Linked DNA regions of Mus musculus. The main gene of each other region encodes a partner of the protein of the gene in region 2 in a complex. Links are inferred from orthologs where the notes say so. Each region holds a gene or a part of one and is shown on either strand. Other genes may lie near its edges.

Region 1 (7,408 bases), on a different chromosome or scaffold from region 2:
ACTCTATAGTCATTGGTTCCTTCCTTAGGCTATCCCACACCGAAGGTGACCCAGTCATCTCTTCAGAAGACAGACATCTTTTTCTTTACATGAAGTCCTTATCTGGCTGCTAATTTACAGATCTCCTTGAAATGATCTAACGTAAGACTCAAGGGGGTGGAGCTGCTTTGGCCCATTTCTAGAATCAAGACAATTACAAATAGAGAGAGAGAGACACAAAAGATCAATTCACACAGAAATGTACTGGGACAGCACATGAAAATTCAGAATGAAGGCCTGTCCCAAGAGTGGGTTCCGACCTGCCCCGTTCTGTCAGAACCACCAGTGGGATCAAGTCCCTTTCAGGTGGGACCCTCAAGTCTACTTCAAGTGGGTCACAATGACGAGGGTTCCACTGGTGTCTGCCTGAACCACCTGTGGCCTCTAGTAATTGGCTTAAGCTACTGACAAACTCAGACTGTCTGGACATACAGGAACACAGACAACTGGGACACAGAGTACTCATGTACCAGCCAGTGGTCAAACATTCAATGTGACAAGGGTGTCAGGGGTGCTTCCTGGCCCACGCACCAAAAATGTTAAGTCTAAAAGTGCTGCTCGGAGACCACCACTCACATATGCGATTGGCAAGTGTTTTTATTTCAAGAAAGCAAGAAGTCTGCATGCAGAGATAGGCCATACCAGACAAAGGTGTGCAGGCCATTTTATAGGGAACTAGGGAATTTTGGCTAGGGTTAGGTAATCTAAAATTTCCCTGGTGGGTGCCAGGGGATGTTACATGGGTCAGTTTCTGATTTGCTTGTGTCCAGGTGGTCAGTGGACTATACTGAGTCTAACCACAGAATCAGAGATACCCACACCATCTAAGGCTGCCCAGCACAGCATCCTGAGATATGGTACTTCCCCATCCTTTTGGTTCTCTCCAGGCTGTTCTTTGCATGGGGTATTTTATGGTCTGTTCCTGGAGCTGGTGAATTATGGCCTAGTTCCTGGGACTGATGACTTAGGGGCGTGTATGGCTAGTTCCAAGAACAGAGCCTTCCCTTTTGAAGTCAGGCCTGGTCCTACAATGAGATCATCCTCTCAACAGTAGGGTAGGCCGGATCGGAGCCTGGCTCTGCTTACCAGCTGTGCAAGCTCAGATAGGGCCCTTAGCGGGTACAGTGTGTTCCATGCCTATATCGCTAGCACTCAGGAGGCTGAGGCAAGAGGATCAGGAGATCAAAACCAGCCTGATTCAAGAAACCAAACACAGTTCAGTTGGCAGTGTTTGCCTAAGATGCACAAAAGCCTGGGTTCAAGCCTCAGGACCCCCAAAACTGAACATGGTGCGCACGCCTGTAATCCCAGCACTTCAAAGGCTGAAGCAGGTAGGTCAGGAGTTCAAAATCATCCTTGGCTACAAAGTGACTTTGAGGCTAGCCTAGACTACATGAAATATTGTATCAAAAAATAAAAGAAGAAACAACTTGGGCTGCAGATCCAGGGCCCTCACCTCCACCTCTCAAAATAAATGACTAAATAACAAGCAAGATACTCTGCTATAAATTATTCTTAATATAAATATAAACGGCAAATTTAAATGGCCTGTATTTCTTTACCTTATGCTAGTCCCCAATAACTACACAAGAAAGCCAAGATTTATTTAAGTCCGCATCTCAATAACTGAACAATCAGATGGTCTCCCTTAGCCTTCTATGGTAATCTAGCCACCTCCCAGACACAGCCCGTGTGAGCTCTCTCCAGACCCTTTCTTCATAGCTCCAAATTCCCCATCCTCCCTGATGATCTCCGAATCTCCCTCTCCTATCTCCTTCCTCTGGTTGGCAGATGAACGGCCCTCTTCCCTATTCTGCCCAGGTATTGGTGAGATCAGCATTGACAAAACAGAGAATAAATGGTAAAAAAAAAAACTGTTTACATAGACTTAAGACCAGAGATTCTTATCCACATCTAAAAAAAGATAACTAAGGCAGAGAAATCAGCATTTGAATTACACAGCGTATAAACACAGTCTGCCTACCCATTGTGCCTGTCCTCCTCTTTTCACTCTGAGACCATGGCTGGTCTGAAACTCACCCTGAACTTCATAGAGAAGCTGTAGTTATTAAACAAGCCTGAGAAGCCCCAGGCTCCACTGTGGAAGGCACATACTCTCTTGAGCGTACAGTTCTCCACTGTCAGAGACGTTTGGTGAGATGGTTCAGCTGTTAGAGCGAGCACTGCCTGCTCTTCTCAGCATCTCACAGTGGAAAAGCTCCAAACCAGCAATCACTGCGGTTCCTGGTGATCTGATGCCTTCCCTTTGCCTTCCTGGGCCCTGCCCCCATAGACAGATAATCAAATATAAAAATAATTTAAAAAAAAAAAGCCTTAAACACGGAGGCTGGAGACAAGCTCCAGTCAAGAACACCAGCTGCTCTTCCAGAGGTCCTGAGTTCAATTCCCAGCAACCACATGGTAGCTCACAACCATCTGTAATGGGATCTGATGCCCTCTTCTGGAGTGTCTGAAGACATCAAAAGTATACTTGCATACATATAACAAATTTTTTTTTTTTTTTTTTTTGGTTTTTTGAGACAGAATTTCTCTGTGTAGCCCTGGCTGTCCTGGAACTCACTCTGTAGACCAGGCTGGCCTTGAACTCAGAAATCCGCCTGCCTCTGCCTCCCAAGTGCTGGGATTAAAGGTGTGCAGCACCACTGCCCGGCAATAAATAAATCTTTAAAAAAAATCTTAAAACACAATTTTTCTCTCTGTCTTTCTGTCTGGTTTTTGAAATAGGGTTTCTCTGTGTAGCCTTGACTGTCCTAGAACTCATTCTGTAGACCAGGTTGGCCTCAAACCCAGAGATCCACCTGCCTCTGCCTCCTGGATGCTGGGATTAGAGGCGTGTGCCACCTCTGCCTAGTTCAAACATAGTTAAAAAGATCAAGTAAGGAAAACGTGTTAAAACCTCCAAATCACACAGACCCTGGTAAAGCTGGAGCCCACCTATGAGATCATGTGGCCTTTGGTCAGTCCAGAAGATGCAAACACAAGCTCCGGGTACACCCAGAACCACACACCTGCAGACTCTGACCTTTTGATTATGTGGCTCTGGCCTTCAGGAAAGCATCCCCCCTCCCCCCAACACACACACAAGCACACACACAGGAAAGCCAGCTTAAGGAAACGATGTGCCTTAAAACAGCACTTGGGAAAGGACCAAAAGTTAGGAGAGGATTTAGGCTTCTCACTTAGACCCCAGTCACTGAGTGCCCCACCCCATACATCATTGTCATCAGTTACAGCACCTGTCCTAGGCCCTTATCAAAAGGATTAAAGACCAAAATGATCACACAGTTGGTGGAGCAGCAAAGCCTGGAGCATCTGGAAAAGATGGCAGGCAGCCTTGCAGAAGAGAGGCTGACCTTGGCCTCAAGGGCTCATGACAGTAACGATGTTGGCCAGAGCTGGAGGCAGTTAAACGTGATGGCAACCCGTGCAACCAAGCACTTAACTGCGAGGACTTGAGCCAAGCACGGCGCCGATTCCACACACCAACCTTGCAGTGGCTGCTTTCCTTATCTCAGAGGGGAAACTGAGGACTGGAAAGTGATGTACGGGCGCGAGTGAAGATACGTCTTGCCAGCCTCCACCAACGTGGCTTCCTCCAACCCAATCCGTGGTCACCAGAGTCCCTGCCCAGGTCTGATCGGTGAACCTCCATGGGACGTGCACGTGGGCCAGGGCCAGGCCCAGGTCACTTGACGACGGGGCCTCACCGCTTCAGGCAGTTGGGGTGAGCACCTCCCTCCTCCCTGGCCGCGTCCCTCGCGATACTTACCTGGGTCGGGGCTCCAGGGACCCGAGAGAAAAGGACGGGTTGAGAAGGAGGCTGGCAAAGACCGTAGCCCACAGCAGCCGCCACCACTCTACCGGACCAGACACCTCGCGGCCTCTGCCTTTGTCCGCACACGTCACTTCCCCGAGCCTGGAGGGGGCTGGACTCAAGATCGCTCCGCCCCGAGGCCAGTTCACTCCGCCCCAAGACTAGCTCATCCCTCTCCACAGACAGATAGCCCCTCCCCAGGGCCAGATCGCCGCGTCCCACAGGCAGCTCACGTCCAGATCGTCCCTCCCCCACAGCCAACTCCGCCCTCTCCAGGGCCTGCTCACACCTCTCCACGCCCCCACAGCCAACCCCGCTCCACGGCCTGCTCACTCGACACGCCCAGAACTTCTCTCCGCGCGACTAACTCGCCCCTCCCCACGCCCAGCTCGCCCAAACACAAGACCAGCTAGTTCCGCCCCACGGCCAATTCGCCCCTCCCCATCGCTACCTCGCTTGTCCCCGAGGCCAGTTCACCCCGCCCCCTGGCCAGATCGCCGCACTCCAAGGTTTGATCGCCCTATTCTTCGGCCAGATCGCCTTTTCCTTCGGGATCCTAACCCAGTTTTTTGCCTACGCGCAGGGACTTCATGATGAAGGATCCACAGCTGATATCTCACACACTTGAGGGTGTAGCTCTTTTAAGACAAGAGTCCAACTGAGTTCTGGCCGTAAACTTCAGGATCCTTCTGCATCATCGACGTGGTTGCTGGGGTTACAGGCACGCGCCTCCATGCGCCACAAGGCTGGATTCTTAAAAACCAACATCATGAGAGTTTTCCACCCTAAAAGGAGAATTAAGCCGGGCGTTGTTGGCGCACGCCTTTAATCTCAGCACTCGGGAGGCAGAGGCAGGCGGATTTCGAGGCCAACCTGGTCTACAAAGTGAGTTCCAGGACAGCCAGGGCTATACAGAGAAACCCTGTCGGGGGGGGGGGGGGAGGAGGATTAAAAGCCATTGTTGCTCAAATCCACCCATGCCCACTAGTATATTAAAATAATATATCAACCCAGGAAAGAGAACAGGAAAGAAAGGCTTTGACAGAGGTAAGGATTGCCAGGCCAAATAAAGCAGAAATCTAGAAGTTTGCCCTCCTGAGGACCGCCCTTCCCTATCCACTCAGACAATCTGCACCGGGTCTTGAAGGAAAGATGAGCTTGCTGCATGCAAACCCCCTCTAACCGCCTCGGAGTTCTAAGTTGCCTCTTCTAACTGGTGGATGTAATGATTCAGCTACAATACTCTGAGGGTTAAATTTGTGGGATTTGCGAGTTTAGGCTAGAGTCTAGTGGGGCTTGCAGGCAATGAAGGTTATCATAATAAGTATTTTTGCCTTAAGCTCACCTCTGTTGGCTGACACACCGGCTGTTAGACATACTTGTCATGCCTCCTGGGCTCTGCATTACAGTAGGTGCTTAAAGTTGTGTTTTGCTTTTACTTATTCTTTTTTTTTTTTTTTTCCTTTTCTGGATCAGTGCCTTGCTAGGTAACCCAGGATGGCCTGAAACTCACAGTGATCCTCCTGCCTTTGAAATGCTGGGATTGAAAGAATGCACTACCACACCTAATGTGTATTTACACATTAATACTGAAAGCAATAGAGGCTTAGGAGGCGGAAAAATCCTACCCCCAATTGAGTCCCCACCCCAAATCTGTGCACCTAATAGTTGATAGCTACTCTGGGTTATTCTAGGTATTACCTGGTTTCAATAGTTCAAAGAGCTATTCACCACCCCAAAGTGGTGAATACTTGTAATCCCAGCACCTGGGAAGTGGAGGCCGGAAGACAAGGAATTAAAGGTTATCTTTTGCCGCACAATGAACTTAACACCAGCCTACACTACCAGAGACCTAGTCTCAAAAACAAAAGCCAAGGAGCTGAAAAGATGACTTGTGACTCAGCAGTTAAGAGTGCTTGTTGGGGCTTTAGAGATGGCTCAGTGGTTGAGGGCACTGGCTGCTCTTCCAAAGAACCTATATTCAAATCCCAGCAACCACATGGCAGCTCACAACTGTCTGTAACTCAAAGATCTCACACCCTCACACAGACATATGTGCAGGCAAAATGCCAAAGCACATGAACATAAAAACAAAAATAAATTATCTTAAGAAAGGAAGGAAGGAAAGAAGGAAGAGTGCTTCCTGCTTTTACAGAGAACTAGAATTCTGTTCCCAGGCAATCTGACCCCTTCTGGACTCAAAAGACACCTGCACGTATGTATGCATGCACACATGCTTATGCACACAGAGATAAGTAAAAAGTAAAATTTCCTTTAAAATGCAAGTTTGGTCTGGTGTGGTGACTCACACCTTTAATCCCAGCACTCAGGGGGCAGGGGCAGGAGGATCTCTGTGAGCTCAAGCCCTGCCTAATCTATAGAATGAGTTCCAGGACAGCCAAAGCTACACAGTGAGACATGGTCTCAAAAAAGCCAAAATTATTAATAATAAGAAGGAGAAGGAAGAGGAGGAGGAGGCTTGAGGAAACTGTTCACAAAAGCTGGCTCAGCCCTTAAGAGTACAAACTGCTCTTCCAGAAGATCTGAGCTCAGTCCCTAGCGCACATGTTGGGTGTCTTTACAACCCCTGTAACTCCAGCTCCAGCGGATCCTGCTAAGGCCTGGGTAACTGCTGCCCGTCTAGCCAGATATTTTATGCTGTTATTACTGCTATAAAGAAAACTTCTCATGTGTTGTTTCTAGGAATCTTTCTCATTCCCAAGTTGATTGCATATTCTGGTATGTCCTGAGCTTTGGTACTATTAAAAACCAGTCAGTTTGAACAGCTTTGTACAGCTAGCCACAATAAGCTTGGACCTAAATCAACCACCCAGCAGCACTTCCTGCATCTATGTATAAACGTTTATGGGTTTTGCTTTTATAAGCTGCCCCTGGGATGGACCCCGACATAAGAGAGACGCCTGCACCAATATAAGAAGCTACTTGGAATAAGACTTCCATTTTGAGTAGGGGTGAGTAAAGTTCCTGAGACCTCCCTGGGAACTGACATCTTACTTGGCAGAAAGAGTCCTGTACATGGGTAAATGATATCCTGGTTGGCAAGTTAAGACATGAATGTCAGGCAAGGTAAGTCACCAGCACAGTTAAACACCCCGACAAATGAGGACAGGATAAATGTACAGCAAAGACGTGCTCCTAAGGAAGTTCCCTATTCCTAAATCCTGACTGATGAAATAACTTGGCACAAACATTCATGGATTTCATGCTTAAAAGCTCTGTAGGATTCTGGCTTGGGGTCACAGTCAGCTCCTGAGTCTGGTTTGAGGCCCCGATCGATCCATCAGTCCTGTGATGAATACTCAATTAACTATCCCTACCTGACTGAGATCAGTGTTTGTGTGGTTTGTGGGGTGACTCCTGGACCCCAACAGATCCAGTGTCCACTTCTGGCTTCCTGCACTGAGCATGCACATGCTTACACACAGATACCCACAGAGTCATCTTAAATAATGATACAACGGTGATGTAGCTCAGTTGGCAGCGTGATCGCCTGGCATGTATGATGTCCTGTGT
Region 2 (7,350 bases):
GGTCAGGGTTAGGGTTAGGGTTTGACCCAGACCCTGGTCTAACCCTAATCCTGACCCTGACCCTGATTAGAGTCTCTTGTCTGACATGCTGGCACAACTAATTTCTCCCCTTTCTCCTATGCTGAACTTCCCTGTTGGTTCTGAGGGTTTCTTTTCTTTCTTTCTTTCTTTTCTTTTCTTTTTTTTTTTTTTTTGGTTGTTTGTTTTTTGAGACAGGGTTTCTCTGTGTAGCCCTGGCTGTCCTGGAACTCACTCTCTAGACCAGGCTGGCCTCGAACTCAGAAATCTGCCTGCCTTTGCCTCCCGAGTGCTAAGATTAAAGGCGTGCGCCACCATGCCCGGCTGCTGAGGGTTTCTATGATCTACATGTTACAACTCTTGTTCCAGTCAACTCGTCCATAGCTCAGAGACATCTAGTGTTCAACGTGACTTCTTCAGCCCAATATGTTTTCATTCGATGTATTTTTAAAAAATTAGTAGTTTAATATACGGCATGTGGGACCGTGTTACCAGACAGACATAAGAACTAGAATGGTTGAGTGAGCTCAGATCCCAGGAATCTGAGAGATCTCAGGCTGGTAGAAGTGGAGCCATGCCTACCTGCTCTGGAACACATAACCATGATACTCCACTGAAGACCTCAGGCACTGAGTCACCCAGCACAACATCTATAGTTCTTCTCCATGCTAATGAGATATCTAGATAGCCCTGAGCCTTCAGCCAATGAGCGCCCCTTCCTAGATATTCCTTCCCACAAGAGGTATATAATCCCTGGTTCACCCCAAATAAAGTATATGCATTCACATCCATCATTAAATAAAGCAATAGGAGCAAGCAAAGATTGTCTCAGAAAGTTGTTTCATTCAGAAACGAGGTGAAGAAGGCCTTTGACTAAAGAGCTGCGCCTAAGACCCCTGAGCAAGGTCTTCTCCTCTCCAGTTCTTCCAGCACGCTCTGCCCTCACTCCCAGTCAGACCAGGTTTCACTCATCCTGGGCTCTGCCTCGACCTCTCCACCTGGCATGCCCAGATGTTGGAGGGGGGTAAAATCTTGGACCCCCATTCCTGACTCCTGGCAGTACACCAGTGACAGCCAGGTACCCAAAGAAGAAACCACAAATCACAGCATCTGGCCCAGACTTCCACTGTTTCCCCTTCCGGCCTGGTGAAGGAAGATACAAGCTGTGGATCTTCATTTCGGATTTTGCCCTGCGTTCTTCCGGTGCCCCACCCCCACTTGCAGTACAACAGTCCGATTGGTTCAAAAGCCAAAATATGCAAAACTACGTACGTTAATAAGCACTACCCTCCTCTTATGCCTTAACCCACACACCATTACAGTTATATAGGTAGTATCATCAGTTTCTTATGAATCGTAGAGTCTGTCCTCAATCTAGCTTTCTCCTTCTAGTTTACTAAAGGGCTATCTGTCTAGAGCAGACTTCATACACGGATATTATCTGACTAATTAACAGTTGCTGAGGATCCTGATGTCTTCATATATATATATATGGACTTCTGGATCATATAGTAATTCTATGTTTAAATTTCATGTCTGTTGGTAAAATACTGGAGATTGAACGAGTTGGTTGTTGGTCTTTTGTTTATTTGAGACAAAAATAAAATAAAATAAATAAGATAAAATCTTGCTCATAGCTCTGACTAGTCTGGAACTCACTATGTAGGTCTACTGGCCCTGTCCTTATAACAAACCTGCTTTTACTTCCCAAGTGCTGGGATTAAAGGAATACACAGATGAAGTCAGAGCACCTGTGGCCCAACCTCTGAACACTGCTGCACAGAGGACACCAAACTTTTGGAGGACATTTCAGATTCGAACCATGACACATTTCCATAGCAGCTGTGCCATTTTACACCACCCACCCCAATGTTCCACCAGGCTTCTATGAAACCACTGATTATATAAGTATTTTCCTGATTAGAGTACACGTTCATGATAGATCATTTAGAAAACTCAAAAAAGCAAAATGACGAAATTCTCTTTATTCTAATTACGGAGCCATGACCTGAATTCATATTACTCCCGGGAGAAAAGGAAAAGCCGGTTTTTTTCTCAGGCAATTCTGTCATTGTGTTTGATAGCATGGTCCAATAATAGTGCTGGCGCCTGCCCTGCCTGGACCTTGTCCTCAGATTCCTCCGTCCTGGCTGTCCCCACGACCCTATCTTCTGAAAAGGTCATGCAGTTAACCAGGCTTCTGAATCATATTTGCTGGTTGCTTTCAGGAGTGTCACGGGTGCTGTGTGGAGCTGTCACATTCTTGGGCATCTGTTTCCGTATTTTTAAAGCCACCTCAACGTTTGATAGAAAAGCATAAAACTTTTGAGGAAGTGAGCTCTACAAACCCACCACCCACGTAAGAACTGAGCCGTCCTGCCCAGAGGGCATCTGAAAAAGAGATCAACAGGAAAAGGGTGGGGAAATCCTGCCTTCCTTCCCGTCTTCAAGTACCCATTGGCTTCAGACCTTTATTCTCATTGGTTTATCTGGATGTCGCTCCACGCTGGCTTTCCAGAACCAGCCACTGAGAGTCACAAAGTTGGGATTTAAAAGATGCGGTGGGAGGGGCGGGTGATTTTTTGAACTGCTGGCGACCGAGTTCTGGCGGTCCTGACGCGCACCTTGGGCTTGCTCGCGTTCGGTTTCGGCAGCAGGACCAAGAAGGCTTAGGGAAGGCGGCGGGACCCGGCCCCTCGAGGCCAGCCATGGGCCCGCGTCGCAAACCGCAGACCCCAAGGAGGAGACCCTCCAGCCCGGCGCCTGGACCCTCGCGACAGAGCTCCAGTGTAGGTAAGCGAGCCTGCCCTGCACCTCCGAGGCCGGTGCGGTCATCCTGTGGGGCCGGGCCTGTAGAGGGACGGTTCCTGGTCACGGCTTGCCGCTAACCTCGCGTAGGGGTAATGGTTTTTTTGTTTATTTGTTTGTTTGTTTGCTTGTTTGTTCCTGACCGGTTTACAGCAGGGAGAAAAACGAAATGCAGACAAGACAAGGAGTTGGAGCAAAGACAAACTCATTCTGACGGACACGGGGTCTTTTTTTGCATTTATTTACTTTGCATGTATTTTGCATTTATTTTGTGTTCGTGCTCTGGCGACGGCCAGAAGAGAGCGTCGGAACCCCGGGGCCGGAGTTACAGTTGTGAGCTGCCCTTTTTTTTAGAGTGCTAGGAAGAGAACTCGGCCCCCCTGGAAGAGCAGCCTGGGCTATTAACAGCTGAACCAGCTTTCTAACTCCTACTCTTTATTATTTATTTGCAGCACTAGAGATGGAACCCAGGACTCCGTGTATGTTAGGCAAGGGTTCTACTACAGAACTATATCCCCAACCCTCTCCCCGACCCTTTTTTTTTTAAGACGGGAACTCGGTATGTATCGGTGTGTAGCCTTGGCTTGCTGACCTGAAACGTGCTATGTAGACTAGGCTAGCCTAGAGCTCACAGATCTCTGCCTGTGTTGGGGATGGTTGTATGCAGTGTGTATTCAGGAACTATTTCTGAGATCTGGTTACAATCCAGACACTGCCTCAATGTGATGTAAAAACTGTTTTCCATCACCTCTGATTGGTTAATGAGCTGATCAACCAATTGGCTGGGCAGAAGAAAGAAGAGTGGGACTTCTGTTCCCAATCAGAGGGTCCTGAAGAGACCAGGTGAGAAGAAGAGATGGAGAGACCATGTGGGTGAAGAAGGATTACTCATGAGGTCTGGATAAGAGAGCAGCCATGAGGACCCACATGGACCAGAGAGAGCCAGGGCAAGATCAGATGGCAAATAATGGGTCATATAGCCTGGTAACAGCAGCCTAGCCGGGTTAGAATATCTCAGAACCGCCGGGCGCGGTGGCGCACGCCTTTAATCCCAGCACTCGGGAGGCAGAGGCAGGCGGATTTCTGAGTTCGAGGCCAGCCTGGTCTACAAAGTGAGTTCCAGGACAGCCAGAGCTATACAGAGAAACCCTGCCTCAAAAAAAAAAAAAAAGAATATCTCAGAACCTACCTAGCTTAATGCCAGCAGCTTGTTAATAAAAAGGGGGGTAAGGAAGGACTTAGAATTAGATTTACATGCCTGCTTCTGCTTCTCTGGTGCTTGGATTAAAGGCATGCACCACCACATTCTATTTCTCATTGAGGTATGGTGAGCCCCTAAGGGAATAATGTGGTCATGGTTGTACCGCTCGACCAGAGCTGATGTTCGATGTGGACTTCCAGTGTAGAAGCAACCTTCCATTACTCTTATCTTAGGGAAAAGTTTTACATCAGCTGCGCCCACTTCTTGGCTCTCCTACTGCCCTTGTCTGCTGACCTTGTTCTTCCAGCCATTTGGTGCTTTTTATTCCCCCCTCCTTCCTCTCCATTCAGCCTCAGGCCTTGCTAGGTGCCCCCTCCTTTCCCAAGTCAACCAACCCTTCTTTTATGTGGGCCCTTAGACATATCTCCCTTTTGTGCTGTAAGGGACTTTGTGTTGTTCTTGCTACATAACAGCTCACGGCCATCTGTAACTCCATTTCCAGGGGATCCTTCTGGCCTCTGCAGGTACTGCACACACACAGACATGCACATAGGCAAAACAGATACACATACACATAGAATAAAATAAAACCATTTTAGGTGTGTGACAGTGACATCCATGTGTCCCAGGCTAACCCTGAGCTCAGGACACCCTGTCTCTGTATTCCAGGTGTTGGAACTGTAGGTGAGGGCCTGTGGGCCTGACTGGAGAGAGCTTTAGTGTGTAAGTCCTGCTTGAAATTCTCGGGCTCCCACCTGCTAACGTTGACCTTTGAGACCCAGCCTCAGGGTGTTTGAATGCAGTTCTTTCCAGGTCATCTCTGATCACTTCCGTTTCATAAACACCTGTTTGTGTATCATGAGTCTTGGAGTTCTCTTCCTCTTCTATTTCTCAAAATCTTTCTTTTCTGGGAGAGAATAAGTTCTCTCCATGTAGCCCAGTGGAGGTTCCTACCTCTGCCTCTCAGCGATGGATCGCACACGGCACGGCATTCAGTTCTCTCGCTATTCAAACTCCTTGAGTATAGTTTATTTTGATTCTTGGTTTTGGCTCCTTTTCCTTCTGGTGTTAGTCACATTCTTTGGTGGTCTCTAGTTGTGTTGCCTTCATTTTCTGTGAGTGTGTACCTGTTAACATCACCCTCTAGCCCCCAAAAGCCCAGATCTCGAAAATGGTGGGGTGGGGAGGAGGCAGCCATTTGTAGTTTATCTTTTAGTTATGGCCCATCATAGCTAGCTTCAGTTGACAGCCTGATACAAACCCAGGAAGGAGGAACTTCAACTGAGCAATTACTTCTATCAAACTGGCTGGCCTGTGGCCATGTCTGTTAAGCATTTTTTTTTAATTGCTTATCTTTGTCAGAGGGCCAAGTCCACTGTAGCCCACCACCTCCTATCTGGATTTAAAGATAGGGGAGCAGGCCGTAAGCAGCATTCCTCCAAGGATTCTGCCTCCAGATTCCTGCCTTGAGCTCCTGCCCTGGCTTCTGCTGATGGACGGTGAGTGACATATAAGCCAAATCAACCCTTCCCTCTCCAGGTAGGTCTTGGAGGTGGTGTTTATCACAGCAACAACAACCAAAGTCGAGCAGGGTCCTCCCTCTCCGTCTTCAGTGTCTCCAGTGTCTCCAGTCTCTACACACTGCTCTGCCTCTCTGTCTTCAGTGTCTCCAGTCTCTACACACTGCTCTGCCTCTCTGTCTTCAGTGTCTCCAGTCTCCTACACACTGCTCTGCCTCTCTGTCTTCAGTGTCTCCAGTCTCTACACACTGCTCTGCCTCTCTGTCTTCAGTGTCTCCAGTCTCTACACACTGCTCTGCCTCTCTGTCTTCAGTGTCTCCAGTCTCCTACACACTGCTCTGTGTCTTTGCTTTATCATCCTGACCTCACCGGTGGTTAAGTCTCCACCTCCTGCCTGGCACAGGCCGCCCCTGCACTGGTCCCGTCTCCCTTCTTCCATTTTCCTTGCAGTGTTCCTCACTGCTTGGGATCGAATTGGCTGGGCTTTAAATAACCTAGCTAAAGCTACGTGTTCCTGTTTTGCAGGACTAAGGATTGAACGCAGGGCCTTGTGTGTACAAGGCAAGTGTTCCTCCGGCCAGTTCCTTGTGTGTGCTTCTGTTTTGTTTTAGACATAATCATTTTAATCAGTCAATTACTTATATTTATTGACAGTTATACTACTTACTTATTTCATTTTCAGTATCACTACTGTATTTAATGTCTTGTTTATCTCAATAACTAACACTTGAGTTGAATTTAACTCAGCTATCTTTGTGTTTTTAAGATTTATTTTTATAAGCTGGGCAGTGGTGGCACATGCCTTTAATCCAAGCACTTGGGAGACAGAGGCAGGTGGATTTTGAGGCCAGCCTGGTCTACAGAGTGAGTTCCAAGACAGCCAGGGCTATACAGAGAAACCTTGTCTCGAAAAACCAAAAAACAAAACAAAATCAAAACGATTTATTTAGAGGGCCTGGAAATTGGCTTAATAGTTAGGAGCACTGACTGCTCTTCCAGAGGTCTAGGGTTTGATTCCTAGCACCACATAGTGGCTAACAACCATCAACACAGTGCCAGAGTAGCTAACTGCCCTTCTAACTTCTGCAGGTACCAGGCATACACATGGGACACAGACATACATGCAGGCAAAACACCTACTATACACAAATATTTTTTTAAATTATTTATATGTGTGAGTGTTTTACCTGCATATATGTGTGACTGTATCTATATATGTGTGTGTATATACATATATATATGTGAGCGTATGAATGTGTATGTGTACAGAAGTCAGACACAGGTGTCAGGATGTTGGATTCTCTGGAATTGGAGTTAGATGGTTGTAAGCCACCATATGGATGTTGGGCACCAAACCTAGGTCCTCTATAAGAACAACAAATACTCTTAGCCAATGAACCATCTCTCCAGCCCAATTTTTATGTCTAATTATATGTATGTGCACATTAATACAGGTTCCCAAGGGGGCCGATCACCAGATCCTGGCCCTAAAGTTACAGGCAAGTGGTTATAGGCAGTGTGAGCCAACTGCCACAGGTGCTAGGAACCAAACTTAGATCTTCTGTAAGAATGGTACATGCTCTGACAACTGAGCCATCTTCAGACCTTAACTCATTTGGCATTCTTGTTTTCTGCTAGATCTATTTCAGGTTATTCATTTGCTTCTGGTGAATTTGGGGTGTGTCAGGTTTTGAGAAGAAAATTTTTATATTTTTCATTTTTTTTAAGATTTTTTATTATGTAAATACACTCTGACTGTCTTCAGACATTCCAGAAGAGGACGTCAGATCTCATTACGAATGG

What was found. The genes of interacting proteins can lie anywhere in the genome.
Region 1: the proteins of Cenpa (region 2) and Ntmt1 are in contact, whole or in part, in a crystal structure (PDB 5CVD), measured with the Homo sapiens proteins. The link is inferred for Mus musculus from reciprocal best matches to the Homo sapiens genes CENPA and NTMT1. Residues at the interface, in NP_001800.1 of Homo sapiens: Gly2, Pro3, Arg4, Arg5, Arg6, Ser7; in NP_001273725.1 of Homo sapiens: Tyr19, Trp20, Met30, Leu31, Gly32, Tyr34, Ile37, Trp136, Asn168, Ile175, Asp177, Asp180, Asp212, Glu213, Ile214, Tyr215.

What each region holds. Positions count from the first base shown.
Region 1 is NC_000068.7:30,804,505-30,811,912, reverse strand, and holds the start of Ntmt1 (N-terminal Xaa-Pro-Lys N-methyltransferase 1), read right to left. Parts: upstream 3,946-7,408; 5' UTR 3,830-3,945; exon of another isoform or gene 3,548-3,829; intron 1-3,547. UniProt on the Homo sapiens protein: Distributive alpha-N-methyltransferase that methylates the N-terminus of target proteins containing the N-terminal motif [Ala/Gly/Pro/Ser]-Pro-Lys when the initiator Met is cleaved.
Region 2 is NC_000071.6:30,664,303-30,671,652, forward strand, and holds the start of Cenpa (histone H3-like centromeric protein A), read left to right. Parts: upstream 1-2,583; 5' UTR 2,584-2,726; coding exon 2,727-2,811; intron 2,812-4,696; exon of another isoform or gene 4,697-4,750; intron 4,751-5,389; exon of another isoform or gene 5,390-5,519; coding exon of another isoform or gene 5,520-5,526; intron 5,527-6,072; coding exon of another isoform or gene 6,073-6,108; intron 6,109-7,350. UniProt on the Homo sapiens protein: Histone H3-like nucleosomal protein that is specifically found in centromeric nucleosomes. Replaces conventional H3 in the nucleosome core of centromeric chromatin that serves as an assembly site for the inner kinetochore.